7 linked regions of the Oryctolagus cuniculus genome follow. The protein of the gene in region 7 interacts with the protein of the main gene of each other region in a biochemical or structural test. Links are inferred from orthologs where the notes say so. Each region holds a gene or a part of one and is shown on either strand. Other genes may lie near its edges.

Region 1 (4,174 bases), on a different chromosome or scaffold from region 7:
TTTCTAATTCTGCCTGTCAAATAAATAAATAAATAAATAAATAAATAAATACTCGGGCATGCCTTTCACTGTTCCTCAGGATTAGATGTGGGCAACATTGATGGGTCAAGTACGACAAAAATGACTGAGTGTAGTAATACTCACCTTTTTGTCAACTTCACTGTCAGAATCACTGCCAGATGAGCTTGAAGAAACAAGTTCCTTTGACTTAGGCATTCTAAAAGAAAAATGTATTGTGTAAATAATTTACAAGTTGCCCTATTACCTCAACTACGCTCTTCCTCCCATTTAAAACTCATCGACACACCGTACGGTTCATTCTACCACTTTGTGATACACAGATCATTCTGCTGAGCACAAGCTTTAAATCTACACTCTCCTAAGTTGCAAATAACAGTAAAATATTGTGAACCAGTGAGGAAAGAGAACATTCACACTCACATTCCCACCTCAAAGCCCATGGATCTTTTTATACTTCACTTTAGTGGGGTTAGCAGTTTATGGGTAGGGTGATCGTAAGAAAGCAGCTGCTAACATTTACTGTTAAAACCCAAAGAAACACAAACAATTTCACTCAGTGGTGCTTCATAGTTCTAATGACAGCAGAAACTAATGTAGAATTATTCACTGCAAGGAATTTATTCGTACAACAGGGGGAATAGCTATACAATGCTGATGCGGTATCTAATTAACTTTGTCATAATGACTTTTCCTCCTATTTCTTATGTTAATTTTGACTTTTTGGCCATATCATCAAAATAACAGGTATTATTTCAGAGTTCACAATGTTACATATTAACTCAGAGTGATTCAGTCCATTTTACACTTATTTTCTACTCCTGAATATCATTTTAAATCATGAAGAATCTATTTATGAGAGCGACTGGTACCATCCAGTTTCCCAGTTCCTCCCCAGAGAGGTTCACAGCCCAGTACTTTACTTGCAACTGGACTTTACTGCCAAGGGGAAGGAGAGCACTATCAATAAACCTCAGCCCCAGTTGTAAGAAACTCCAGGCCCGTGAGCCCGCCTTTGCAAGGCACTCAATACCAGGTGCTAAAGCGCCAATTCTCAATTTAGCTTTTGCTTTCCCCATCTCAGAAGAGAATGGGTCCTATTAATTTCTGTATGCCACTAAGGGCCTAATAAAGACAAACTCTGAATGTCTGGAAGGGGGAAAGGCTTCAGTTTCCTTTTAGAAAAAAAAAAATCAAAATCCAGCTCTCTAGACTAAACTTGTGCAGGCCCTGGCATTGAACGTGTTCCACAATAAGAGGTCAAGGTAAAAGAAGTGGGCCATCCCAATCCTGGCCATGAAATTCAAAAAGCCCAAATCAGCCCAACTCAGCCATGTTGATTTTAACCGGCAACTGCTTGAAGACCAGAAGAGTAAATTCAGAGAGGAACAGCGACATCCAAAGCACAGCTGGTACATTTTTTTTTTTCCTTTTACTGCTCCATTTTTACAACCTAGTCTACAAAACAAATTTAGATCTTTTTTTTTTTTTACGCCAGCTGCTACTTTAACTGCCAAAATGCCTTTTTTGAAAAGGTAATCAAGTCGAACATATATTTTTCACTTTAAAATGGTCTAGCCCAACTATCACCGTTTAGTAATAGCTGCCTGGAGGCCTAAGATCATTTCAAACTCCCACCTCCTATTTAATCTAAATAAGGTAACAACAAGGTAACGGCAACTAAGCCCAGTTCTTCGAACTTTCAGTAATACACTTTTTTTTTTTAATGTAATGAGCGGCTTTACTGTTCCAAAAAATGGTGGGACAGGCAATTCATTAAGAACGTTCTCACAGAATACACACAAAACGCAATTTAAACGAGAAGTGGGGGGAGGACCCTTGGTCCTTGCCTGCCGGCTCAGGGAGGATCAAGAAAAACGAGGTGAAAATGAACTAGGACAGAAGGGCACAGGGACTCGGTGCCACACCGGCGTGGAAAGCGCCAAGGCGGGGGAGGGACTCGCTCCTGCCAGGAAGCTGCTAGAAGCCGGGACTGGCGGCCGCCCGGGCGAGGGGAGACAGGTTCGGTCGGAGGGGGCGTGGGAGGCAGCGAAGTGCGGAGGAGACGGCGTGAGGAGAGGAGGGACTTGCACCAAGCGCCATTTTCTCCTCTCGAAGCGCTCGCTCTCTGCCCCCTCGCGCCGCCACCCTGCCTTCCTCTCCCCCGCCGACCCCCTTCCGACGCCGCCGCTCTCCCCCCCCCCCCGTGAACCCCTCAACACACACCAGCGAGGGGCCGGGGCCGCAAGGAGGACGGGGCAAGCCACAGGCCCCACGCGCGTCCCCGTCGGGGGCCCGGCCGCAGCCGCATTGTCCCGGGGGCGTCCGCGGGACCCTCCCCGCGACTCCCCGCCCCCGCCCGGCCGCGCCCTGAAGCCCGGAGCCGCCACGCCCGCCGCCTCTGCTCCCATCGCTGGAGCAGGCCTCGGGCGCGAAGGGGCTCTCGGCGCGTCGGGCAGGGGGTCGGCGACGGAGGAGGGGGCTCACGGACGCCGAGGCGGGGAGGGGGGAGGTCAGCCGGAACCGCCATTTCCCACCGCCGGCAGGGACGCGGAGGGCGGCGGGCTGCTCGCGGCTCGCCGTCCAAGGTTGGGGGTAGGCCGGGTCGGGGCACCAAGGGTTGGGGGCGGGGGGCTCGCATACTCACGCTCCGTCCCTGCGGCCGAACACTCTGCTACTCGCTCGCGACTGACAGAGAAGCGGAAGTGACGACAGCCAAGAGCCTCTAGCCCTGCCCTGCTGGAGCCGTGCACACGTGACGGGGCGTGGCCTCCTCGCGGAAACCGACACCGAGACCCTTTCCAGGGCCTTAAAGGGACCGCCTCTCTTCCAGAATGGTCTCTCAAAAGAGGTGCCACAAAGGTTGGGTGATACCTTTGAGGGAATGCGGAGGCCCATGAAAGCACTGAGCTTTCCACTGCTTCAATGTGTGTTCTATTGAATTGGGAGGGCGTACTGAAAAGATCAACATTCTGACCAGTTTTCCCAAAAGTGATGCTCCTCCCACCCCACCCTAACCCTGTCTCCCTGCCGTGGCTCCTATCTGCAAGAAGGAAGCCAAAGTGTCAGCCTTTGGTTCTGGAGAGTGCAAGGAGCCTTTGCAGAAGCTCTGGCCACCAGCACTTACCCTAAATGGAAGTCCTGAGGCGTAAGTTCACAGCAAGATCCGCACCATAAGCGGGAACCAGGTGAATAGGGTATTTGCTGAATGCCTATTTATTCAACCAGGATTTACCAAGCAACCGCTGAGTGAGAAGGGGGTTGAGGGGGGGCACAGTGGGTAAGCCGCTGCCTGCAGCTCCACTGGTGTCTCAGCTTCAGCTTCCTGCTCATGTGCCTGGGAAGGCAGCAAAAGATGGTCCAGGTGGGAGACCAGGAAGTCCCTGGCTCCTGGCTTCTGCCTGGCCTATGTTGGCCATTTTTAGGCCACTTGGGGAGTGAACAAGTGGTTGGAAATCGATCTTTAAAAAAAAAAAAAAAGGCAGCTTAATTTACTCATTTGAAAATCCAGAGTTATAGAGATGGGAAGAGGCAGAAACAAAGAGAGACAAAGATTTCCAACCACTGGGTATCTCCCCAGATGGCAGCTTCATTCAAGTCTCCCACGTGGATGCAGGGGCCTAAACACGTGGGCCATACTCTGCTGCTTTTCCCAGGCCATTAGCTGGGAGCTGGATCTGAAGTGGAGCCCCGGAGACAGGAACCAGCACCCATATGGGATGCCAACATTGCAGGTGGCAGCTTTACCCGCTCTGTCACAAGAGTGGGCCCTAAATAAATCGTTTTTAAAACGAATAAGTTTTCAGGGCATATTGTGGTCCCGCAAGTTAAGCCACCTCTTAGGACGACTCCGACATCCCAAATCAGAACATAGATACAAGTCCTGGCTGCCCCGCTTCCCATCCAACTTCCTGCTGATGTTCCTGGAAAGGCAGCCAATGATGCACCAGGTGCTTGGGCCCCTGCACCCGCGTGGGAGACCTGGAAGAGGCTCCTGGCTCCTGGCTTTGGTCTGGCCCAGCTCCAGCAGTTGCAGGAGTGAACCAGTGGATAGAAGACGTCTCTCTCTCTCTCTCTCTCTCTCTCTCACTCTGCCTTTCAAATAAATAAAATAAATCTCTTTAAAAAATGTAAAAGTTGCCTGGAGTTACACAGG
Region 2 (3,500 bases), on a different chromosome or scaffold from region 7:
TTTTGGTTAAGGAGAAAAAATGATAAATACAGCAACAGCACCATCTAAAGACATACTGTCAGAATTCCTTGAAAAGAAGCCAGAGATCCGTTTCACGCAAACGTGGGTCTTTACTGCCCCAGTCAGAATGATAAACGTAAGGCTGCTGAATCGCATTTGCCTTTTGGTACTTAATGCTAGAAGTCAAAGACAAAAAGCTCCACTTGTGCTTTGTGAGAACAACTACATCACAGCAGCTGTACTTGGCACTGTGACTTGAGAAAAAAAAGCCACTAATGAAAGCAAAAGTACCAACTGCATTGGTTGTCACCCTCAAGTACAGAATAATCCCTTTCAGTGACTTATTTTTGGTTTATGTAAATAGCATTGCTTCTTTGAAGGCGAAGGAGCCAAAGATGTCCTTAAGCCTGCATTGTTTCAATTCTGGCATCTCTGCCAGCACCTGAACTGTGGCTAGTCCAAGGTGAAGGGTGCTAGAAGGGTAAAATCCACTTGATTTGAACCTGCCACTCAGATGGGAGACCTGGGTGGGGTTCCGGGCTCCTGCCTGCAGCACGGAGCTCCAGCTGTTACAGCTATTTGGGGAGTGAACCACAGGATGAAAGACCTCTTTCTGATCTGCCTCTGTCTCTCTCTCTCTCTTTCTCTCTCTCTTTCTGTGTATTTGTTACTCTTTCAAGTAAATAAATAAATCTTAAGAAAAAAAAAACATTAAATCATAGCTACAGTTCCCAGGGAGGGACTGATGCCAAGAACTATTGGGAAGGTAAACCATGACATGAAAAAGAAACAAAACAAGAAAACAAATTTAAAAAAAATTCCAGCACATGCCAAAACCTCCATGAATACTCTAAAATTTAATCATAAACTTATGCAAATTTTCCACAACTCCCCTTTACAGACAAGGGACAAAGTCTTAAGAAATCTTTGAGAAGTGTAAACTGGCCAAATTTTTATCCTAGTCCACATCAATTATACCCTTTCTAATGATTCAGTGTTACCAGTTGTGTGTGTGTGTGTGTGTGTGTAAACTGACAATGAAAATGAAAACTGAGCTTTATTTCAAATATCCTTTCATTTGCTGAATTACATGTAAATTTCACATTGGGTTATACAGTTTCCCTGTACCTTGCCCCAAGGTCCAACAAAGCCACGGTACAGCCTTACTTAGTGGTGTGTGGAGCCACCTATTCTCACATAACATATCCATATACTTGCAGTGAGTGTAGTCCTGAATTCTACTGGAGCCCTCTCTGGACACAGCACAGAGAACTTCCCAAGCTCTGCAGCTCTAGCAAGAAGCCCCACGTTCTCCTTTTCTTCTGAGACCTTGGATTACTCTTACCTTGACTTGTTCATTTGAAGTTACAGCACAGAAAACAATCTCTGTGAATCCTTGGGATGGGAACATACGGAAACATATACCACCAATAACACGGCCATCTTTAATTAAAGCGAGGGTTTTGTGTTTCCTGAAAAGAATAAAATTACATTAAAGTTTTACTATCCACATTACAGAAATATATTTTTAGGGGTATGCCTTCATCTGGTCACTATCTTGTTAGACCATCCTTTATTCTGGGCTTCTTAGATCAAGCTTGCCAGCACAAGCCTTCTTCACAGTGCCCACCACAACAAAACACCAGTCACCTAGGAACCATCTGCAGCTTACAGATAGAGAACAGAGTGTGCATGGAGTACTGTGGCACTGGCAGCCCCCACACCAAGGACCCCAGGGTGGGAGGTCAGGGGCGGACATGAAGCAATGGTCAAACACATGTCCTCGACAAGTTTAGCCTTAGTCAAAAATATTACAGAAACAATATGGAAGAATATGAAATTCACATGTACAGTTTGCCAGACCCCCATCAGACCCTCTCTCTGTCTCAAGTATCATTCTGAATTGTCACACAAGAAGATCAGAGTCCACATAGGCTGTTGAGCTATATATGTCAAAATACATTTAAATAAATCAATTTGGGGTTTAGGGTTTTAAAAAAAAATTTAAAACAATGGATTTGCAGAGTTAATTTGACTTATTTCTCAATAATTTTCCCAACTTTTACCAATATGGGCAACAATGAAACCTAGTTAAGGTATTAAAACTAGAAGCCTTTTGACTATTAAAAAAAAAAAAAAAGTGGGATATCGTCTTAGTGTGTAGTTCTCTCTACTCTATAGTAAACGAACACAGCATAGTCACCAAAAAACTTAAAATATAAAGCTTCATCATCATTAACAAGAAATTATAGAGGCTGGAGTTGTGGCACAGCCCATTAAACCACTGCCTGAGATGCTGGCATCTGATATGGGAGTGCTGGTTAAAGTCCCAGCTGTCCAGCTTCTGACCCAGCTGTATGCTAATGTGCATGGGAAAGAAGCAGAAGATGGCCCAAGTAATTGGGCACCAGACACTCATGGAGACCTGCATGGAGTTCTATAAAGTGAACAAATATTTGTGGCCATGTGGGAAGTAAACCGTGATGGAAGATATCTCTCTCTCTCTCTTTTTCTCTGTCTTCCTGCCTTTCAAATAAATAAATATTTATAAAAGAAAAATGTGTAAATTGTGGGGAAATCAACTGCAGTACCTTTTGACATGAAAATCAGCTTGATGAAACTCCATAGCACATCATCGCAGGAGGGAGAAGAGACTTCTGTGGTAGACTGTGGCAGACTTTCACCATCTAAGTAGTTTGTCTTCCATTGTAAAAGGAAACAAAGAAGGAGGAAGAGCTAACACAAAACTTACGGGTCAAAGACGAGCCGCGTGATATACTCTTTTGGCATTCGGGGCAGCTGATGGGAGAACACATTCTGCAGGCCGACCAGCCACATCAGGATCCTCTTGTTCGGCTTTTGGTTCAGGGAATTGCCAACCACGTGAAATTCAATCACACCCCTGCGCTCTTCCAGCCTTGCTGCCTCATCCCTTGCTGAATGGGCTGACAGAAAATTGGTCTGGGATAGAGAAGAGAGCAGAAAATCACAAAGACTAACTCTCTTAAGACAGTGTGGACGGAACACAGCAAACCTTCTCTTCTTTGCTCTAGTAAGATACTTATTTGTGGATTTTCTGGGTCCTAAATTCACACACATGTGCATTTACCAATACACATACTCACATGGGTACACTCACGTGTATACAAGTTATAAAGACAAAATAGAAGAGGTAGGTAAAGCACTTTGAGAAACTAAAGTACTGCAGGTGTACATGGATGAAATCTGGTACAAAATTAAGGGTCAGCAAATTTTTCTATAAAGGGCCAGATAAAAAATATCATAGACATTGCAAACAATTAGGTCTCTGTCACAAGTACTCAACTCTGGCTGCAGGACAAAAGCAGCCACAGACAATAAGTCCAAGAATAGGTGTAGCATGGAGCCAAGATGGTGGACAGAGGCCCTGCACTTGCCTCTACCACAGAGAAGAACCAGAGCAACTAAGGAAGGACCATGATCCCAGGAAAAGGACTGAGGGAAAAGTTCAGGAAAGAAGT
Region 3 (4,103 bases), about 48 Mb from region 7:
ATTTACATTTCCCTGATTGCTAGTGATCTTGAACATTTTTTCAAGTGTCTGTTGGCCATTTGGATTTCCTCTTTTGAAAAATGTCTATTGAGGTCCTTGGCCCATCTCTTAAGTGGGTTGTTTTGATGTTGTGGAGTTTCTTGATTTCTTTATAGATTCTGGTTATCAACCCTTTATCTGTTGCATAGTTTGTAACATAATATGTTTATAATGAAAAAATTGGGAACTCTATTTACCTTTATGAGTAATTGTCAAGAATACCACTGATTGTGGAGTTAATAGCTCCAGAGGATATGGGGAAAAAGCAACTGCCTTTATCTGGCCTCTTGTTTGTGGATTCAAGAAAAATCAAAAATCAAAAACTCTAGTTTTAATGATCTGTGATTATTTTACTGTGTATGGGTGAAATGGTCATTTTTTCATTCAATTATTGCTTACAGCCATCATCTATATTCCCACTCACCTAGGGCCTTTTTGCTTTGTACTTATTAAACTTCTTATTTGGTGAAGTATTAATCTTTTTAACTGTAATGTAATTTTAAAATATGCTATCTCAAAAACTTTTTAAAAAAGGAAGAAGGTGGGAGGGAGATATGGGAGGGAGGAAGAAAGGGAATAATATTATGTTTTGGAATTGTATCTACAAAGCACATTGAATTTGTTAAATAAACATAAAAAACATACAAAATGAAAAACTCTACTATCAAACCTCAACAAAATAAAAAAACAACAAAATCCTTGTCATTGTAATACTGACAGTATTACAATGCTGCCTGTCCTTCAGTTGCATAGACATCATGGGCACTTAAACCACACTTTCATGCTCAGTCCCTGTATCATGCCTCCCCACTTGTCAAATAGTGTTCAACAGTCAAACCAGACGAGTTAGCATAAAGAAGCATGATTTTTCTCTTGTGTACAACTATGTTACTTTGTGAGTCCTCATTTAGCTCTATGTTTTTTTTTTCATTTAATAAACAGGAAGCTGTTACACCTCTTCTTACTCTGCATATATCAAGTATGGCATACAGTAATATGCTAAGTTGTTATTATAGTCTGACATCAATCAGTAAATATCACTGTACATTTGTAGTTTCCTAATATTCTCTTATGGACACTAACATATGGTCTTAAAACTATGTCTAACAAAAGAGTAGGCATTTTTATTGTTGGTGTTAGTATTTCTGATTCATCCAGTTTTGGTTTCATGATAAACTTGTTTCAGCTTTTACAAATGATATTCTTAAAATGAGAAATACTAAAATATTGGTGTGGCCCAATTTTATTTTTCTGTCACCTACATAATATGTAATTTTAAAATTATGGAACTCATAAATTCAATATCCTCATCTTATTGACAAGAAAACCAAAGCCCAGAGAGACTCTTCTTATACCCTGTCATTAGCAAAGTCGGATCCAGACCATGTCAGTCACCAGATCTCTATCACATTGTTATTTAATTGTGCTCCAAAGAACCCAAGAACCCTACGTCTGCAACAATTTACAGAATGTTTTCACATTCATCTAGTTCCAACAATGACCATGTGAAGTGATCATCATTATTATTTTACAAAGGGGTATCTTTGGCTTGCAGAATTTACATGACTTTTTTTTAACATTTTCAAACCCAGAAACCAGAGCTTTAGACTCCAAATCTGGAGTTTGCCTCTCTGAAATTACTGCAGCAACTTGTATTTTAAAATTAATTCTGTAATTTCTCTGTTCAAAAGAATCCATTGCTGAAAAAATTTTAGAAACATAAGATTTTATAACAACCTTATAAAGAGATTCATGAACTACTAGACAACTATTTTCTAAGAAAACATATCTTTTAGGACATATACCTCTTAAGACAACAGCTTTCTATACATAATTAAACATTGAACTCAGAATGATGAAAGCTTACCACTGTTTGACTTAGCAAGAAATTCAAGAGGGCTCTGATCCTGGTTAACCTTTGTATCATTAATATCAGAAGGTTCACAGCTTAAGTGAAAATCATCAATGTAAGCAGCTAGGGCTTCGGAGGCAGAGAAAAATGACTTTCCTTTATATTGGATGGAACCATCAGTATTAAAGGAGATGCTGTTCAGGATTAAAGTTGCTGGAAGATAAGGTTCAGAAGAGCTAAACTGGTGTTTCTTAACTGACTTTGCCATGGCTTTCTCAAAATGGGCAGCAATGTCCTTGCATCTTTCAAAAAACTCTAAACACAAAGAAAGGTATACAAGATTTCAGTTAAATAGAACTAGAGGACAATACTCTTGGCATCCTTGCTAGTCTTTCATCACATATAGCTACTTTTTATAAGTGAAACTACTCTATCCCCCTTAATGCTTTATGTATACTGGGCATTCAACAATGTTGATTGACAGTAAGTTTCATGGACATGGCTGCACGTATAAACTGTATTAGAGAACTCAGTATATGAGCCTTACTAGGTGGAAAATAAAAGAGATGTTGCTTATGTTTATTTTTGGTTTTATGCAATTGAATGAGTAGTTCTGGAATCTTGGGGTATTTTTATTTGCTACATTAAAACAAAGCAAGCCTTCAGAATCATTTTCATTTTCATTTTTGCACCTGTCTCCTTCCCACTGGTCAGACAGAGAAAATCATAAATGAAAACAAGAGGAGAACAATAATTGGCCCTGGCACAAGAGTGATGGCAAATAGAAACCAGGGAACAGGAAATTAATGCTGACAAGGAGGAGGGGTCCTCTGATCTTCCTACATTCTGGCTTTGCCCTAAGAGTTTAATAAAGGAGATCTTTTCATTACCACCTTACATCAATTACTGAGTCTTCCCCCAGATTATAAAAGGTTGTTACTAGGCTGGCGCCGCGGCTCACTAGGCTAATCCTCCGCCTAGCGGCGCCGGCACACCAGGTTCTAGTCCCGGTCGGGGCGCCGGATTCTGTCCCAGTTGCCCCTCTTCCAGGCCAGCCCTCTGCTGTGGCCAGGGAGTGCAGTGGAGGATGGCCCAGGTGCTTGGGCCCTGCACCCCATGGGAGACCAGGAGAAGCACCTGGCTCCTGGCTCCTGCCATCAGATCAGCGCGGTGCGCTGGCCTCAGCGCGCCGACTGCGGCGGCCATTGGAGGGTGAACCAACGGCAAAGGAAGACCTTTCTCTCTGTCTCTCTCTCTCACTGTCCACTCTGCCTGTCAAAAAAATTAAAAAAAAAAAAAAAAAAAAAAAAAAAAAAAAAAAAGGTTGTTACTATTAGCACCCTCAATTTCCAGATGAGAAAATAATGATACATGAAGATTAAGTAACTTGTCCAAAGTAGTAGAGTAGTTAAGCAGCAGCCATCGTTGAACCTCAAGAGGTTCTCAAGCTTGAACTTAAACTATCCATTGGTCCAAACTGACCACTGTCTTGTGTGCTGGAACAGCCCATATCATCTGTTCCCTAACTGCTTACCACAGTTAACATGCCAGCAATGAAGTTGGGTGCCCAAGTTCTCTAGTCTTTACCTTCTCTAAAATGCCTTAAGTTTCTATTGCTATTTGTGTGTGGAGGGGGTGCCAGTCATTTGATAACAATATTTACATAACTGTAAAGAGTAAGTACTCACTTTTTCAGTTCTTTGATATTCGAGTGGATACACTGTGTTTTCAGAATGTTATATTATGTGACCTCATAATACCTATATTTTCCATCCATGGGATATTTCTTGGTCTTTCCAATGTAATGGAGTTACACAGAAACCTTTGAGAATCAGGAGAAAATCAGGATTCATCTTCCCACAAAAATGCAATTTGGCTGGTAGATACAATGAATTCTAGGACTCCTGAGACTCATACATGTCCACCTTTGTATGAACCTTTGATGAAGAACTTTTGTCTAAAGGATGTGATAGAGGAGGGAATAAAGAGAAAAAAGGCCAACTAGGAAAAGAAGGATAAAAAGATATTAATTAGATTGAGACGAGCTAAACTGACATCATATGTTCTTGCAGCTACGATGATAAATACCTTCTTAGTAATTCAGGATCACAATCATCTTTCTTCCCTCTCTGTATCTAACAGTATGAATTGGTTACTATCACAGATGAAAGACAGTGAGTTTTTGAACTAGGGAGCTCAAGTCAAACTCAGT
Region 4 (4,037 bases), on a different chromosome or scaffold from region 7:
TGAAAATTTAACTAGAAACTTTGAAAAAGGCTAGTGTCCTTCAAAATATACATGTAATTCCCTTTTGAAATACAAATTTGAGGACTGTCCTTCACATTATTAGTTTACAGAGCTTAGGACCATTCTTCCTAATGCAGGAAAAAGAAATGTAAGTGCAGTCCAGATGAGTACCTGCATGGTCAACTGCTCATTTTCCCTAGCTTACAAATATTTTTAACACATTTTTATTTTAAAAAATAAAGTTAACATTAAGAAAAACAAAGTCTTGGCCGGCGCCGCGGCTCAATAGGCTAATCCTCCGCCTAGTGGCGCCGGCACACCGGGTTCTAGTCCCGGTTGGGGTGCCGGATTCTGTCCCGGTTGCCCCTCTTCCAGGCCAGCTCTCTGCTGTGGCCAGGGAGTGCAGTGGAGGATGGCCCAGGTGCTTGGGCCCTGCACCCCACGGGAGACCAGGAAAAGCACCTGGCTCCTGGCTCCTGCCATTGGATCAGCGCGGTGCGCCAGCCGCAGCGCGCCGGCCATTGGAGGGTGAACCAACGGCAAAGGAAGACCTTTCTCTCTGTCTCTCTCTCTCACTGTCCACTCTGTCAAAAAAAAAAAAAAAAAAAGTCTCTGTATGTGTGCATACAGGCATGTGCCATGTAAAGGAAAAAGCAAATATGGCGAGCGGTTAATAAATGATGACCCCCACTCCCACCCCAGGCTAGGGTAAGGGGTATACGGGTGTTCACTATATGGTTCAATTTTATTACAGGCTTAAAGATTTTTTTTTTTTAAGAATTATTTATTTATTTGAAAGGCTGAGTTACAGAGAGGCAGAGGCAAAGAGAGAGCAAGGTCTTCCATCCATTGATTCACTTCCCAAATGTCCACAACAGCCAGAGCTGTGCAGAGCCGAAGCCAGGAGCCAGGAGCTTCTTCCAAGTCTCCCATGTGGGTGCAGGGGCCCAAGGACTTGGGCCATCTTCTGCTTTCCCAGGCCATAGCAGGGAGCTGGATAGGAAGTGGAGCAGCCAGGACTTGAACCAGTGTCCATAAGGGATACCAGCACTGCAGACCAGGGCTTTAAACCGCTACACTACAGCGCCAACCCCGGGCTTAAAGTTTTATAAATAATGAGCTGGGGGAAAGAGTACAGTAAAGTTTAAATTTAATATTCGGCCTCTCCATGTTCTCATGACTTGCTTCCAACTTAACTGGCTTAATTAGGTGCTTTATGACTATATGATCATAAAGTCACGTTACATACAATCCAGGTATGATGGACTTGTTTATGCAGTGGCAGGATGTATCTGAAAACGAACAAGTCAAAGCCTGAGTGAGAACGGGTCCTTTAAAGTTGTTGCTGAAGAGTCGACCAATTTATTCTTCAGTTTAAGGCAATGCATGACCTAAGAATGTTCTCACTGCTCTGTTCCACGCGGTCCATGGGAACTCTTGCTAATCTGCTATCTCCGAGTCAGGTGTATTTCTACCGGCGAGAACTGCTTGTGACCAGAATTTCATTTCTAAATTACTACTCATCGCTTCGCTATGCAGTATTAAGACACTGTCTGCTCTGTCGTTATCCGCGCCAAACTCGGAGCCCTGAATCCAAACGTGATCACGGAGCTGTATCTTGTATTGCACGAAACACTATAAAAGTTGGCAAGGTACATTAGCTCTTCGCTAGCTCATTTCCTCGTTTTTAAACAAAAACCCCAAGCAGACATTATCGTCAACAGTACGGTTTTGGAGCAAGTGTGACAGCACGGAGACCTAAGCGGATCTGAAGCGAGTGAATCGCTGAGTCCGGCGAAGCAGACTGGGTCTGCAACTTCCTCCGAAATCCCGGGGCGTCCGACCCAAACCGCGACCACGGGGACAGCGGCCCACCGCGCACAAACCGGCGAGGAGACCGGGAAGCGCGGGGAGGCAGCAGGCGCGCCGCTCCGGGGCCCCGCGCCGCGCGCCCCCCGCCCCTCCCCGCTCCCTCAAGTCTCCACGAACGGAAATGGGAGTCGCGGAGCCGGGGACCAGCGGAAACAAAACACAGAGGCGGCCGCGGGGGGGCCGCGGTGGGGGAAAAGGCCCCGGAACGAGGCCGGCCCGCGCGGGCCCGCGCTCCCTTCCTCCCCCGCGGCCGCACTCACCCGCTCCGGAATCGGCCCTGGCGCTCTCGCCCGCGCTCCGGGGCCGGCTGCGAACGGCAGAGGCGCGGGCTCCACGTGCAGCGTCCCTCCGGGCCGAGCCCTGCAGCTCCCAGGACTCCAAGTGTGAGGCCCCTGGGCCCTTCCCGCGGAATCGGCGCCGAGAAACCCCGAACCCCCTCCCGCCTCCCAGGCTCCCCCGGGTCCGGGACTACAACTCCCAGCAGGGTGCGGGAAACGAGCGCAAGCGGCGCACGAGGCGCCACGTCCCAATCCGCGTGTTTCGCACACTCTCACTTTCCCTGCACATTCACATACACCCCAACAACCCCTAAAGAGCAGGACGCTGCCTAGGAGGGGGGGAGCTTGAACTCGGGACAGGCCAGCCGAAGTGCGCATGCGTAGAGTAAGGTTTCCAGAAGGGAAAAAGCGAACGGGTCAAATTAGGCGAAGGAAAGATGGCGGAGGCTTCGCTAGAGGACCCGGAAGCAGTTACCCTCCACTTCCTCCTCCTGTTTGGCTTCTGTCTCACCTAGAGCCGTCCGGTCGCAGATTGCCTCCGAGACGCTTCCTGTCCGGTGAGTGCCGACCGACTGAAACGGCGGCCCATAATGCATTTCGATGGCGGGTAGGCGTGTGGGGGCGGAGTCAGGGCCGGAAGTGGAACGGTGGCGGCGGCGGCGGCGGTTCTGGCAGCTCGGGGCTGAGTGCAAGGTGACTGGGAGGGTGACTAGACCAGCTCGGTCTCTTGGGACTGCGGTTCTGGGTTTCTTCACACGGCCTAGGCTGCCCGTCACCTCTGCCTTACTGGGAGGGCAGCGCAGTCCTGTGTCCCTAGCACCTTCAGGGCCTGGCTCGGGGTCACAGCTGACCTCGGCGCTTCTGCTCTTCGAAGAGTGCCGCAGACCCAGTAAATGAGGGATAGTGCCTCTGTGGGCAAACCGGGGGAGTGCGGGAGGCCGAGGGGTCTTGGGGCCCGCGGCCTGCCAGGGACAGCCCAAGGTCAGATGTGCGGGATGGGGTCGCGGCCCCGCCTGCCTGATGGAGGCGCGCGTGAGATTCTCCGGCACTAAAGCGCGGGGCAGGACCTGCACCCTAAGAGGGAACAGGGTAGTGGTCATCTTAAAAGCCCTGCTTGAAATGTTTGTGATTGGCTTTTGGAACTCTTACTGAAGGAGGCAGCGAGCTGGGTAACCTTTGGCTGGTCAGTCACCACTATAAATAGAACCAGGCCCCCTCCCGCCACGGGGCCTGCGTGCTGGCTGTAACCCCTCGTGTTGAGGTTCCCAGTCCTACTTGGAATCCCTTTCCTAGGCTCTTGTGGCATCCGATGGTACTCGAATAGAGAATTTGTCACAAATGGCATTTTAAATCTCTTTGTGTAATTATGTGTGTCTTAGGCGTGACATCGTGGACAATCCACACGTACTCAATGAGGGGGAAAAGGGAATAAGGAAGGAACAAGTTTTCATATGAGCGTATCTGTTCATTTTTTCGATGAGTTTGTAGAACTTGCAAGGGCTTGAGAGCTTTTGAATATATGGGTTTGGGGTCCAGGAAAAAGACTAGAATTAGAGACGTGATTTGGAAATCATTGGCAGCTACATGATAGATACTGAAAAAAATGAAAATAGATTCCACCCGTGTTGCAGTAGGAATCACATCTTTGCAGTCAACCTTAGTTATGGGAATATGGGTGATTAATCACTTTTCTTGAACATAATTTTATCATCTGTAAAGCGGGATAAAACACTTGTAACTCTTTAAGGATATCACAGTAGGGGCACAAGGAAAGAATGTATATGGAAGTAATGGGCACAGTATCTAGGTCTGAACAAAGATCAGTTGTTGAACCTGAATGTCCTTGGGTTGCCAAAAGGGGAAACAGGTGTAGATGTATTCAGTTGG
Region 5 (3,948 bases), on a different chromosome or scaffold from region 7:
CCAAGCCCTTCAGGAACTTTCGGAAGGCTTCGTCCCAGCGCTGGCGGTACTCCAACCTTACCAGACCACGGCCCGCGTTAGGCACGTAGGCTGTTACCAGCACGAACGCATCAAATTCAGCCACAATCACCCGGCCTTCCTGATCGTGTTCTTCCTCACCTACAAAATCAGTGCAACAGAATCAGCATAAAGAACTGCACGAAGAGAAGGCAGGGAAGAAAGGAATCGGAGTGGGCCAGGACAGTATCAGCAGTTCTGGAAGCACTCAGGCACTGGGGGCAGCAGGCTCTTACCAATGCCATAGGAGACCTTGAGCGGGCACTGGCGGGAAAGGAGGCCCACCCCGCTGTATCCTTCCTTGTCTGAAGGAGCTGACCAGTACTGGTGAGGTAATCCAGGCAGCTCCTGAAGTTCAGCTGGCAGCTTGTTCTCTGAACACTTGGTCTCCTGGAGGCACAGAATATCTGGGGCTTCTTCCTTTATCCACTGGGAGTGAAAAAGGGGAAAAAACATCAGCTCAGGAGACTTTTACTCAATACATGTGCATAAGCAGCTCTGTGTAGCAGCACAAATCTTGGACAATTATTGTAACTGACAATGGAAGGAGGTAAAAAAAAAATCTTAAATGCTACACTAAGAGATTGTGTTTTTTTCTATAGGTAGCGGATAGCCAGCTAAGATTTTGTTGGTTGTTTTTTAGACTTAAAAAGCAAGATTTATGACAGTCAAAGACATCCAGCCACAACAGCATGGAGGGGGACTTCCAAGAGAGGAAAAAACCCAAAGGGGCTGGTGTTAAGGGTTTTTAAGTACAATTCTGGGGAAGAAACTGTTAATAAGGTGGGGACAGGGACCAGTGCTGTGGCACAGCGGGTTAACACCCTGGCCTGAAGCACTGGCATCCCATATGGGCGCCAGTTCAAGATCCGGCTGCTCCATTTTTTTGAGTGGGAAAATAGCTTTATTTCTCTGGGGAGCAGGTGGGCGTTGGTTTCAGAACTTCTGGAACTGCTTCTTGGTGCCATCGGCCTTGGTGACCTTGAGCACGTTGAAGCGCAAGGTCTTGCTGAAGGGCCGGTACTCGATTTATTTTGTTTATTTGAAAGAGTTACAGAGAGAGGTATAGACAGAAAGGTCTTCCATCTGCTGGTTCACTCCCCAGATGGCTGCAATGGCCAGCGGCTGCTCCACTTCTGATCCAGCTCTCTGCTATGGCCTGGGAAAACAGTAGAAGATGGCCCAAGTCCTTGGACCCCTGCACCGGTGTGGGAGACCTAGAAGATCCTGGCTTCAGATGGGCGCAGCTCTGGCTGTTGCAGTCAATTGGGGAGTGAACCATTGTATGGAAGACCTCTCTCTCTCTCTGTAACTTTGCCTTTCAAACAAATGGATAAATCTTTAAAAGAAAAGAAAAGGTGGGAATGAACCCAACAGAAGACCTGATTTACAATCCTTTATGCTGTCTGGCTTGCTCAGGATGAAACATTAGAGCCATCACAAGGGCAGCTAAGACTTTTAAGCAGTAGATTTGGGAATGGAGGGTATTCTGGAGCTAAAATGGAGGCTGGCCAGCACAGAGGTTTTTGCAACAGTCGGAGGAAGGATACATTAGTAAGACTGGCAATGGCAATGAAGGAATGGACATTCCAGCAAGTCTTGGTTCATCTTCTACTGCTTTCCCTTTGCCCCTTGTACTTCTCCCACAAGAAAAGAAAGGAGAAAAAAAAGTTACATCCTGGGCATTAAAATGAAAAGACGCTAATGAAGCCCTGAGACCATTCAGCATGAAATCTGAATTCCACTCACATCTAAGCCTTTCTTCTTAATCCAGGCTCGAAGCCCATCCACGTTCCAGGAGCAGATCTTCAGTGTGGCAGCTTTGCCGCTAGGTGAGGTTTTCTGGTCTGGGGGGTCCTCATACAGCACGGGGCCCTCTCCTGCTGACTCTTTTTCATTTTTCTTCGCTGCCGTCTTAGCCTTCTTGGTCTCTGGCTCTATAACGAGAATAATACGTAGGGATAAGAGCTGGAGGTTTCCAACATCGAGTCAGAGTCCAAGGCAAACGCACCGCGACCCTGCGGTTAGCGCGACTTCCTCTCCTGCGCCCGCTATGAGTTGGCCCACAGCTAACATTTCGCCAAGGGACTCAGAAGCAGCCCCCCCAACCCCGCCCACCGCGACTGGCAGGGAGAGGCCGCTTCACTCTCACCCGTCTTGGGCTCCTCCCCGTCTTCTGCCGCGGCCCCCTTCTTCCCTCGCTTTGGCATGCCTGTAACGATCGCCCTTCGGCACCCGAACCACGTCGACCACCGAAGCAGTATCTTCACCGCGATGCCTAAGGATGCAAAGATATACGACTCAGCCGGCGAAGGCTGGGGAGAAAACTCCTGCCCTGGACGGCCCCCGCACTAAGTCCCGCCTTTCAAACCACATAATCTCTGAATCCTGTCCCCGCCTCGGTGCATCAGGCCTTCGGCGCTTCACTCCCCAACTAGATCTATCCATAGAGCGTTTGAATCACCGCGAGATCCGCTCTACGGCCAACGGGAGACCTTTACTAAAGGTCCCGTGAGGCAGCTAGCGGAGGCCCCTCCAACAAGCAAAAACGCAGCGCTGCACCTGACCTGCTCCTGCCCCGCTCCTGCCCCAGCCTGGCTCCTTACCCGAGCACAAAGAAGGGAGCACGCTGGACGCCCACGTGGGTAACTGGCGTGGTCACGTGACCCGAGGCCGCGCGTGATTGGGCCGTCTGCCACCACGTGACGGAGACTCTGACACGCCCCTCTCACTCCGCGGAGGGCTGAAGGTCCCAAGGCTCCGTTCTTGGGCTGTTCACGTTCGTGCCTGATGTACGGCTCCTTCTGCCGCCCTGACCGAAGGAGCCGGCGCCGTGCGAGGGGGCAGAAGCTCAGTGGCAGCGACTGGGCTGGGCCGCAGGAGAGAGGCGGGGGAGTGGACTAGGCAGGGCCGGCGCAGAGGCCGGCTCAGCGCTCCCGGCAGCTCCGGAGACAGGTTCCGGAAGGGGCCTTGTGGGTCGCCGGCGGGCGCAGGCGCAGGCGCGGGCACTGCCCCCGCGGCAGGTTTTGGTGTCCGGGCGCGGTTTACTGTTTACCAACAGCGTGCCGGTACCGCCCGCCGAGGGCTGTCGCGGCTCGGTGTTTGGCGCCTTGGCGTTCTCTCTCAGGCGGCGCCATGCCGACGGTGCTGGGGTTTGAAGGCAGCGCCAACAAGATTGGCGTGGGAGTGGTGCGGGATGGCAAGGTGCTGGCCAACCCGCGGCGGACCTATGTCACGCCTCCGGGCACAGGTGAGTCCTGGACTTAATTTGCGACGACCTTCCCCGCGCACATCACCTATTTCCCTGAACACCAGTGAATGGGGCCCGGGGAATTTTGTCCCATTTTACAGCTCGTTGAGGTTATGTGATGTTATTGTCAGAAGGCGGATGAGTGGAAGAGCCACAGGCGCTTGGACCTGAATCTTCTGGGGTTGTCGAGCTTTCATTGAATGCTTTTTGCGTACCAAGACCTCATAAACTTGTAGAAATCTACCCTGGAGTCTAATGTATAAACGAATTGTAACAGCGTGATGAGTGGTGTAATAGAGATGGACTCAAAATGTTGTAAAATGCGGAGGAGAGACGTGAAGATGGAAGGAATTAGGATTTAGGTACCGGATAGAATTGACTGGTATTGGGATACTCTTGACTTTTTTTTTTTTCACTTTTTAATGTTTGCTTTTTGCTTATTTTTATCTACTGGAAAGGCAGGGTGACAGCCAGCCAGAGAGAACCTCATCTACTGGTCCACTTCCCAAATGCCTGCAGTAGCCAGGGCTGAGTGAGGCAGAAGCCAGGAGCCAATAGCTCCATCCGTGTCTCCCATTTATGGGTTGCAGGGGCTCATACTCTTGGCCATCATCTGCTCCCTGCCAGGGTGCACATCAGCA
Region 6 (3,500 bases), on a different chromosome or scaffold from region 7:
AAGCTTAACCTGCTGCACCACAATGCTGGCCCCTCTTAAAATCCAAAATAATCTTTGTTTTTGGCCAAAGTTAAATAAAGGGAAATTTAAAACCAACATGGACACGCACCCACACAGCACCAAGCAGAGGTGTGTTCTGATGCACTTCACAGAGAAGGAACAAAGCATCACTGCTGTGGTACTTACACAACATGCGTGGTTCTACAAACCAGCTTACCTGTGTTCTGCAAAAATGTCGCTGAGTGAATGCTGATCGTCTTAGGTGGGCTAAGGGTTCCCTGGCTTTAGGGAAGTACACCCCCTTTCTAGAAGTATCAGTGTTTCCCAAGGGGGCACGAGTGAAGTGACGGACCAGGCTGGTGCAGAGTGAAGACGGTCAGACCAAGAGGAGAGCGCGGAGAAGACGAGAGGAGAGAAAGGTGGGGAGCAAGGGGAAGGAAGGGTATGATGCCAACGGCAGGGGAATGAAGGTGAGGGGTACAGGGGCAGTCACTGTACTCTCAGTTTTTCTATGGGCTTTAAAGATTTTTAAGTTAAAAAAAAAGAATAAAGTTGAACACGTCACTAGAAAGATGATCCTAGGCTAGAGGTGTTACAAGTAAATGAATCTCCACAAAGGTTCCCACACAGTAAGCCCATAGGTAGAAGGGGCGAGAGCCTCTGGAACATGCAGAGAGCCCACCCTGTCTGGCTGTGTCCCCCTGGGGGGCAACTGGGGCACCTCAAGATGGAATGGCGACACGAGACCAAGTAGCCACCAGATGAAAGACACACGGGCACCCCTTGCTAGGAACGACTGTCCACGGCTGGCTGGAGATGCAACCTGCTGTGTGGGATTATTTTAACACAGTTATGAGAGTCAACACAGCACTTTCTTCTCTGAAACATCTGTTACACCAAATCCTTCTTTCTAGTGGAATTGATCTTAATGAGCTTACTTTTGGAACTAAAATGAACAAATGTAGGTTATCAGGGATAACTGCTTTAAATAATCCCATTTCCTAACTACAGTAATCTAACGGCTTCTCCTTACTTGCGGAGGACGGAGGAAGAGCATGGAGCCTGTGAGCTTAGGAGCCCTGCTCTTCCATTTCCACCCAGCCTCCCGACTTCACTCCTGGCTCCTGGGCCCCAGACTTACGGTGCAATGTCTGTTCACATGACTCCTCCCACACTACTTTCCAGCAGATGGGGCTGTGCTTAGGAATCTCAGAGTCCTGCGATACCAGACAAACGTAACCATGCCAGGCCCACCTAGCTACCTAATTTTGGCTCACACGCTCTCTGCAAACGAGGCATGAAAAGCCACCGTATTCACGGCAGCCTTCAACTTTTGCCTGCTTGCTCATAACCTAACACACCCGTCACCCTTTCGCCTTCTGGTGCTTCTGCAGAGGTATTCAATCATTTCTGAGGAGACACACAGATCTTAGCAGAGCTCAGATGCGACAGGATGCGCTCTCCACAGCCACGTGGAGGCACAGGGGAAGGCCCTTTCCTGGCAAACACAAGTACCATGTAACTTTGAAGGAATCACAAGAGCTGTAGGTCTTCTTCAGGGAGAAGAGACATTCCTCATTATAAAGGTACAGCTGATTTAGACAGCACAGCCCTGGTTCGGTGCTGAGATGACCAGGAAGCCTCTGGTACATGCCCAGGCAGTGGTGTTGGTAGGTGCAGCTTCCACAGGCAGGACTGACCAAATGGCAGGACACAGACCACTTACAGTCACAGCGACCGGGAGGCTCAACCTGACGCGAGGACAGGTCAGCACCACCCCAGCCACGGTGCAGTGGCTGAACCAGGGCCCAGAAGTTCTAACGCAGTACGATGAGATAAAACAGTGCCTTGGCTCCAAGCCTCCACGCAAGTAGAAACAGGTTGGAGAGGGAGGCCTCCTACAACCCACATGCAAGGTTTTCTTTTTATGCAAACTTGGTCCTTACCTTGGAATTCAGCATAATTTCTGGAGCCCTGTACCAACGCGTGGCTACATACTCTGTCAGGAACCCTGTGTGATCATGGTCCGGATCCGCAACGCGGGCCAGGCCGAAGTCACAGATCTGAGAGGGAAAACAAAACAAAACACAGGACATGTCTTAAAGATTCTAAACAGCCTGACATCAGAACATCATAAAAATAAAAACAGAAAACAGCAATGATACAAAAAGTAGTTTCTTCTATCACCACGCAGCAGACACTTGGTGACAAGTCTACAAATTCACAATTATTTAATCCTCCCAACAATCAGGATGGCAGTGATGATGCTCCACGCGTCAGGGACCAGGAAACAGGCTGGCTGAATCAATAGGGCACAGTGTAAGGGGCTCTCCTAGCTTTCACTGTCTGCTTAGCACACCACAGTCTTGCTTGGGTGAATTGAGAAAAATGGTTCTGGCTAAAGTTACGAAGCTACTTGGGGCCCTTTTTTGGCCCTGTTCTGCAGGGGCTCCTGGAATCATCACTGCCAGGACCCCCACTTGCCTTCTATTTCTCAAATTCCCGTTGGCCCATCAGTAGTTATTGCAAAGTTGCTTTCCACTTCCTTCCCCTTCTATGTAGTCAAATCTACTCCCAAAGGCGCAGCTCTGGCCATTGTGGCCAACTGGGGGAGTGAACCAGTGGATGTAAGACCTCCCTCTCTCTCTCTGTCTCTGCCTCTCCTTCTCTGTGTAATTCTTTCAAGTAAATAAATAAATATTAAAAAAACAAACAAACAAACAAACCCACAACTCTTTTCAAGACTGTCAAAAGACAGCTTGTCTCATTTTCCTTTTTTCTTTTTCTAACTGCTGCACCAAAGGTCAACCAAGTCTAACTCATACTACTCAGTCGAGTGCCCAGGCTACAAAACGTTGAGAGCAGTGACAGGGAGTGCTCCACACAACACAGAATGTGAGGGCAGTGATGGCGTGAGCTCCATGCCATGGAAGGGAAACTTGGTTAATCCTCCGCCTGTGGCGCCGGATTCTGTCCCAGTTGCTCCTCTTCCAGTCCAGTCTCTGCTGTGGCCCAGGAAGGCAGTGAAGGATGGCTCAAGTGCTTGGGCCCTGCACCTGCATGGGAGACCAGGAGAAGCACCTGGTTCCTGGCTTTGGATCGGCCGCAGCACGCCGGCTGTAGCAGCCATTTGGGGGGTGAATCAACGGAAGGAAGACCTTTCTCTCTGTCCCTCTCTCTCTTTTATTTATTTTATTTATTTCTTTATTTTTTTGACAGGCAGAGTGGATAGTGAGAGAGAGACAGAGAGAAAGGTCTTTCTTTGCCATTGGTTCACCCTCTAATGGCCACCACGGCTGGCGCGCTGCGGCCGGCGCACCACGCTGATCCAATGGCAGGAGCCAGGTGCTTCTCCTGGTCTCCCATGCAGGTGCAGGGTCCAAGGACTTGGGCCATCCTCCACTGCACTCCTGGGCCACAGCAGAGAGTTGGCCTGGAAGAGGGGCAACCGGGACAGAATCCGGCGCCCCGATCAGGATTAGAACTCGGTGTGCCGGCGC
Region 7 (4,184 bases):
AAGGAACACAATACTATGTGTGTGCATGAATTCTGAAGTAAAAAAAAAAAAAAAATCCTCAAAGACTACAGAAACACAAGGTTACCCACACAAGCTGATGTTACAAACCTTAGGTGGAGAACTGCAAGATCCTTAGCTGTAATCTTTTTCAGGTTAACAAACTCATGTCTTATGATGATACATCTTTCTTAAAAAGCAACAAATTCATAGCATGCTATAATCCTCCTATTTTCAGCCTTTAAAATGAAACCTACTTAGAAACGAGCTCTAGAAGTTGTCTAACCAACTTCTGGGGTGCACTTAACTCCATTATGCACTCGCACTGGCAGCCAGAGGGATGACGTTCTGGCGAGTTACGGGGATGCTCCACAGTTGGGGAACAGCCTGTGGACTGTCAGATGGCCAGCCATTCTTCTCTTCATTACGCCGGCATCTCAAACAACCATGACAGCCAAAGAGAAGGTCGGTGGCCATCAGGAGACAAGCGTAAGAGAAAGAGGAGGAGGATGCAAGAGGTCTCCCTCAACTTCTCCTAACAAAGGGATCAGTCCACAACTGACTAAAGCAAAGAATTCATAGAGCTTTGAAACTGAAATCTCCAACTCCAGAGACGTTTTCAGGGGAAGAGGACAAAACCACACACAAACCAAAACCTACAGCATATTTTAAACTTCTGTACAATCAGTTCAAGTTGGAGTTCACGACTGGAACACTCAACTTCGTTCAAACTGGATTCCCAGGGACGTTCCTCCGCAGAACCGTCTCTCCTTTTTGCTTTCGTCCAAAGTGAAAAAGTGACTACAAACTGCAAGAAAAGGCCTCGCATTCCCAACCTGAAAACCCAGAGTTTCAGACATTTTGGTCTGACACCGAAGAGGAGGGGGATGTAAAAATGAACTGCGCCCCATATTGATTCTCAGAGCAAACAGAAAAGAAAGAAAAAGAAAGAAAGCTGAGAGTGATGGGTAAAATAATTCGGTTCAACTTCACATCAAATCTGAAATCTGGATCTCACACAAATAAAACCAAGGTCTTTTTTTTTTTTTTTTTTTACATCTTATTCCTGCTCAGATTATCTTGTGCAACGGAGAGAAAAAATTTTGAAAAAGAAGAGTGGAAAGTAAAAGGAAGAGGTAAGTACAATCGAGGAGAAAAGGCTCGCAAGTTTTCATCTACCACCAACAAAACACATTCAATCTAGAACTACGTAAAAGCCCTCACACACAGAAGCATCGGCATTCCCGAAATTGAGTGCACGGGGCAACAATAAGGGCCGTTTCTATCCAGCGAGCGCTAATTCCAGAACACACATCGGTTTGACATAGTGTTGCAACCAATGTATTAGGAGGCCAAGAAAATGGTCGGGCTACTGGACGTCTTCGACCAGCTCATTCAAACACCTTTAAAAATTAATTGCGGAGCAGGGAAGTGGGAAGAGAGGGAAGGGGGGACATATACGCATGTAACATGGAAGAGGGAAGGTGCACCGGGCAGGAACGCGAAAGGCTGGGGCCGGAGGACTAACCTGTGCCGTCGCTGGCCGACGCCGAGAGGGCCGGCGAGGAGAGTTTAGGCCGCTTGGCTGAAGGCGGCCCCGGTTCCACCACATTCTCGGCCATTTTTAATTCTTTCGGAGATACGGACGAAGCAGACGAGAATCCTCCGAAAAAAATCTCTTCTTCGGCCCGGGGTCCCGCCCCGCTCCCCGCAGTGGGCTCGGGGGGCTCCGCCGGCGGCCGAGGGGGGTGGGGGAAGTTCCTTTTTCTCTCCGCCGGGTCGCGGTGACTGGAGAGGGATGCGGACTCGACAGAAAAGGTAGGGGCAAGTGCGAGGGGCCGGGCCTGCGCCCAGGCCCGAGCAGGGCAACGGGGGCCCAAACCCGCCGAGCGCGTCCGCTGCGGCGAATTCCCGAGAACTCGCGGCTCTAGAGGCGCAGTCCCCGGCCCGCCGCGGCCGGCCCCTGCCCAGCCGAGGTCTCTCGGAGCTCCGCCGCCGCCATCAGCCTCTTCCTCCTCGGCGCTGTCCTCCTCCTTCTCATCGCCACAAGGAGGCGGGGGCGAAAAGGGGGGAGAGGAGGAGGCGACGAGAAACACTCACCTCCTCCCGGTGCCCCCTCCCGGGCCTGCGCCCCCACCCGCCCAGCCCTCCTCCTGCCGCCGCCGCCGCCGCCGCACCGGCCCCTAATGGCCGCGGGAAGCTCGCCCGAGCCGAGAGCCAGGCTGGCGCCGCCGCCGCCTCACATCGCGCGGCGGCCGGCGGAGGCGCGGCGAGGACGCCCGGCGCGGAGCTCGCCGGCCCGCAGGGCCGAGGGGGCCGGGCCCGCGCCGAGCCCACCGAGGAGGCCCCGCTCGGGCGGCGGCGCAGGCTGCCTGCTCTCGCGCTGCGCTCTCCTCCTCCTCCTCCTCCGCCCTCCTCTCCCGCGGAAAATAAATAAATACGGCCGCCGCCGCCGCGGCCCCCACCCCGGCCGCCAGGTGCCCGGAGCGCCCGCCCCTCGGGGCTCCGCTCGGGGCCGCCCTCGACGGCGGGCGAAGGCGCTGCGGGGCGCGGGGTTATGTAATGGTCCCCCCTAGGCGTCGACGCCGGGCCCGGCTGCCGGGCCGCGCTGGGGGTGTGTGCAAGGCGGGAGGGGGCTGGGGGTCGCCTCAGCCCGTGCGCCCCGGGCCCCCTGCCACTGTCTCGGCCCTGCCGCCGCTCGCCGGCCCGGCTCCACGCCGCGCTCCTCCGCTCCCGCAGTTCGCACTCAGCCCGGCGTCCCGCTCGCCCACTCGCGCCCGCTCCCTCTCGCCCTCTCTCCCCCCCGAGCCTAGCACACAAACAAGATGGCGGCTGTTGTTTCTTCCCTCTGCCGAATCCTCCTTACAGGCTAGCGGTAGCAGCGGCGGCCGGAAATGAGCCAAGGGGGGGCGAAAAAAAGGGGCGGGGCCGCGCCGCCGGAGGGAGGGGGCGAGGGGCGGGGCCAGGGCGCGAGCCGCTCACACAATGGGGGAAGAGGAGCCGGGGGCGGGTCCTGTTCCATCACGGGATCCGCCCAAGGCCCCAACGCGGCTGGCGCTTCCGCAAACTCCCCCGGCGTCACTCGGTGGCTCCCTTTAAAGGGGAGGATTTCAAGGCGGGAGGGGGGAGCCGGGGGCGGACTCGGGATCTATTTTCAGTCGGTAGACAGTGACCGGGAAAGTGCCTGGGCTGGGTCTCCCTGCCTCGGGGGCCGGTGGCCGCGGGGGTGACGGAGCTGAGGCGCTACGCCCGGGAAGGCGCCAAGTGTCCGTCCGCGCAGGTGGCCGACGGGGAGCCTCCGTGCGGACGGCCTTGGGCGGCCGAGTTCACCCGCCGGTGGCCACCCGCCGCCCGGAGTTGGGGGCCGGAGACCCCAGCGCATCTTCACGTCGCCTTCCCCGAGCGTGCCCCCACCCTGCCCAAAATCACACCGGTTACGGGTTGTTTCCACAGTCTTTGAATTTTCCTTTTTTTTTTTTTTTTTTTTTTTTTTTTGGACAGGAGACGCGTGTGGTACTTTGATAATTAGGAAACAAACCAACCAAGAAACCCCGCAGTCCTGGGAGGATGCTTTAGGACCCGCCACGTGTCCCCCCCACGCCCCGACCAGGTGGGGCCCGCCCCGAAATACTTTTGTGGACATGCCTCGGCCCTGAAGAGAAGTTTAGGGTCTATCTTCCCACTCCTCTTGGGCAGGCCAGCTTAAGGAAAGATCACGTGTCTTACAAGATAATGTGTTTATGGGGGGGAGGGGAAGCGATATGCTAAAGGTAGTTTAAGGAGGGAGGCAGGAAACAGAAATGTGGCTTGCTGAACGTAAAGCCCCCAGCCCAGGAGCTGGCTTCCTCGTGGTGAAGCCGGGTTCCTGTGTTTGGCATTTGGAGAGTGAACCAGTGGATGGCAGATCTCTCTCTCTCTCTCTGCCTTTCAAGTAAGTGAAAAACTTTTTTTTTTTAAGATTATTTATTTATTTGACAGGTAGAGTTATAGACAGTGAGAGACAGAGAGATCTTCCTTCTGTTGGTTCACCCCCCAAATGGCCGCTACGGCCGGTGCTGTGCCAATCCCAAGCCAGGAGCCAGGTGCTTTTCCTGGTCTTCCATGGGGTGCAGGGCCCAAGCACTTGGGCCATCCTCCACTGCCTTCCCGGGCCACAGCAGAGAGCTGGCCTGGAAGAGGGGCATCCA

What was found.
Region 1: of the proteins of EP300 (region 7) and SUB1, one has a biochemical effect on the other in vitro, tested with the Homo sapiens proteins (2 studies listed by BioGRID). The link is inferred for Oryctolagus cuniculus from reciprocal best matches to the Homo sapiens genes EP300 and SUB1.
Region 2: of the proteins of EP300 (region 7) and KAT2B, one has a biochemical effect on the other in vitro, tested with the Homo sapiens proteins (4 studies listed by BioGRID, with this or other methods). The link is inferred for Oryctolagus cuniculus from reciprocal best matches to the Homo sapiens genes EP300 and KAT2B.
Region 3: the proteins of EP300 (region 7) and GRIP1 form a complex in vitro, tested with the Homo sapiens proteins (2 studies listed by BioGRID). The link is inferred for Oryctolagus cuniculus from reciprocal best matches to the Homo sapiens genes EP300 and GRIP1.
Region 4: the proteins of EP300 (region 7) and GABPA form a complex in vitro, tested with the Homo sapiens proteins (2 studies listed by BioGRID). The link is inferred for Oryctolagus cuniculus from reciprocal best matches to the Homo sapiens genes EP300 and GABPA.
Region 5: the proteins of EP300 (region 7) and APEX1 form a complex in vitro, tested with the Homo sapiens proteins (4 studies listed by BioGRID, with this or other methods). The link is inferred for Oryctolagus cuniculus from reciprocal best matches to the Homo sapiens genes EP300 and APEX1.
Region 6: of the proteins of EP300 (region 7) and MAPK1, one has a biochemical effect on the other in vitro, tested with the Homo sapiens proteins (2 studies listed by BioGRID). The link is inferred for Oryctolagus cuniculus from reciprocal best matches to the Homo sapiens genes EP300 and MAPK1.

The regions. Positions count from the first base shown.
Region 1 is NC_091445.1:58,700,015-58,704,188, reverse strand, and holds the start of SUB1 (activated RNA polymerase II transcriptional coactivator p15), read right to left. Parts: upstream 2,801-4,174; 5' UTR 2,666-2,800; intron 218-2,665; 5' UTR 217-217; coding exon 145-216; intron 1-144.
Region 2 is NC_091435.1:155,767,391-155,770,890, reverse strand, and holds part of KAT2B (histone acetyltransferase KAT2B), read right to left. Parts: intron 2,962-3,500; coding exon 2,753-2,961; intron 1,473-2,752; coding exon 1,346-1,472; intron 1-1,345. UniProt on the Homo sapiens protein: Functions as a histone acetyltransferase (HAT) to promote transcriptional activation. Has significant histone acetyltransferase activity with core histones (H3 and H4), and also with nucleosome core particles.
Region 3 is NC_091442.1:68,865,628-68,869,730, forward strand, and holds the start of GRIP1 (glutamate receptor-interacting protein 1), read right to left. Parts: upstream 2,801-4,103; 5' UTR 2,160-2,800; coding exon 1,907-2,159; intron 1-1,906. UniProt on the Homo sapiens protein: May play a role as a localized scaffold for the assembly of a multiprotein signaling complex and as mediator of the trafficking of its binding partners at specific subcellular location in neurons.
Region 4 is NC_091435.1:20,152,970-20,157,006, forward strand, and holds the start of GABPA (GA-binding protein alpha chain), read right to left. Parts: upstream 2,801-4,037; 5' UTR 2,662-2,800; exon of another isoform or gene 2,133-2,661; intron 1,830-2,132; exon of another isoform or gene 1,250-1,829; intron 1-1,249.
Region 5 is NC_091443.1:54,294,492-54,298,439, forward strand, and holds the start of APEX1 (DNA repair nuclease/redox regulator APEX1), read right to left. Parts: upstream 2,801-3,948; 5' UTR 2,664-2,800; exon of another isoform or gene 2,485-2,663; intron 2,338-2,484; exon of another isoform or gene 2,336-2,337; 5' UTR 2,268-2,335; coding exon 2,210-2,267; intron 1,995-2,209; coding exon 1,807-1,994; intron 487-1,806; coding exon 294-486; intron 160-293; coding exon 1-159. Other genes in the region: OSGEP (tRNA N6-adenosine threonylcarbamoyltransferase), read left to right, coding at 3,193-3,307.
Region 6 is NC_091452.1:29,050,752-29,054,251, reverse strand, and holds part of MAPK1 (mitogen-activated protein kinase 1), read right to left. Parts: intron 2,064-3,500; coding exon 1,947-2,063; intron 1-1,946. UniProt on the Homo sapiens protein: Serine/threonine kinase which acts as an essential component of the MAP kinase signal transduction pathway. MAPK1/ERK2 and MAPK3/ERK1 are the 2 MAPKs which play an important role in the MAPK/ERK cascade.
Region 7 is NC_091442.1:117,159,742-117,163,925, reverse strand, and holds the start of EP300 (histone acetyltransferase p300), read right to left. Parts: upstream 2,801-4,184; 5' UTR 1,620-2,800; coding exon 1,526-1,619; intron 1-1,525. UniProt on the Homo sapiens protein: Functions as a histone acetyltransferase and regulates transcription via chromatin remodeling. Acetylates all four core histones in nucleosomes. Histone acetylation gives an epigenetic tag for transcriptional activation.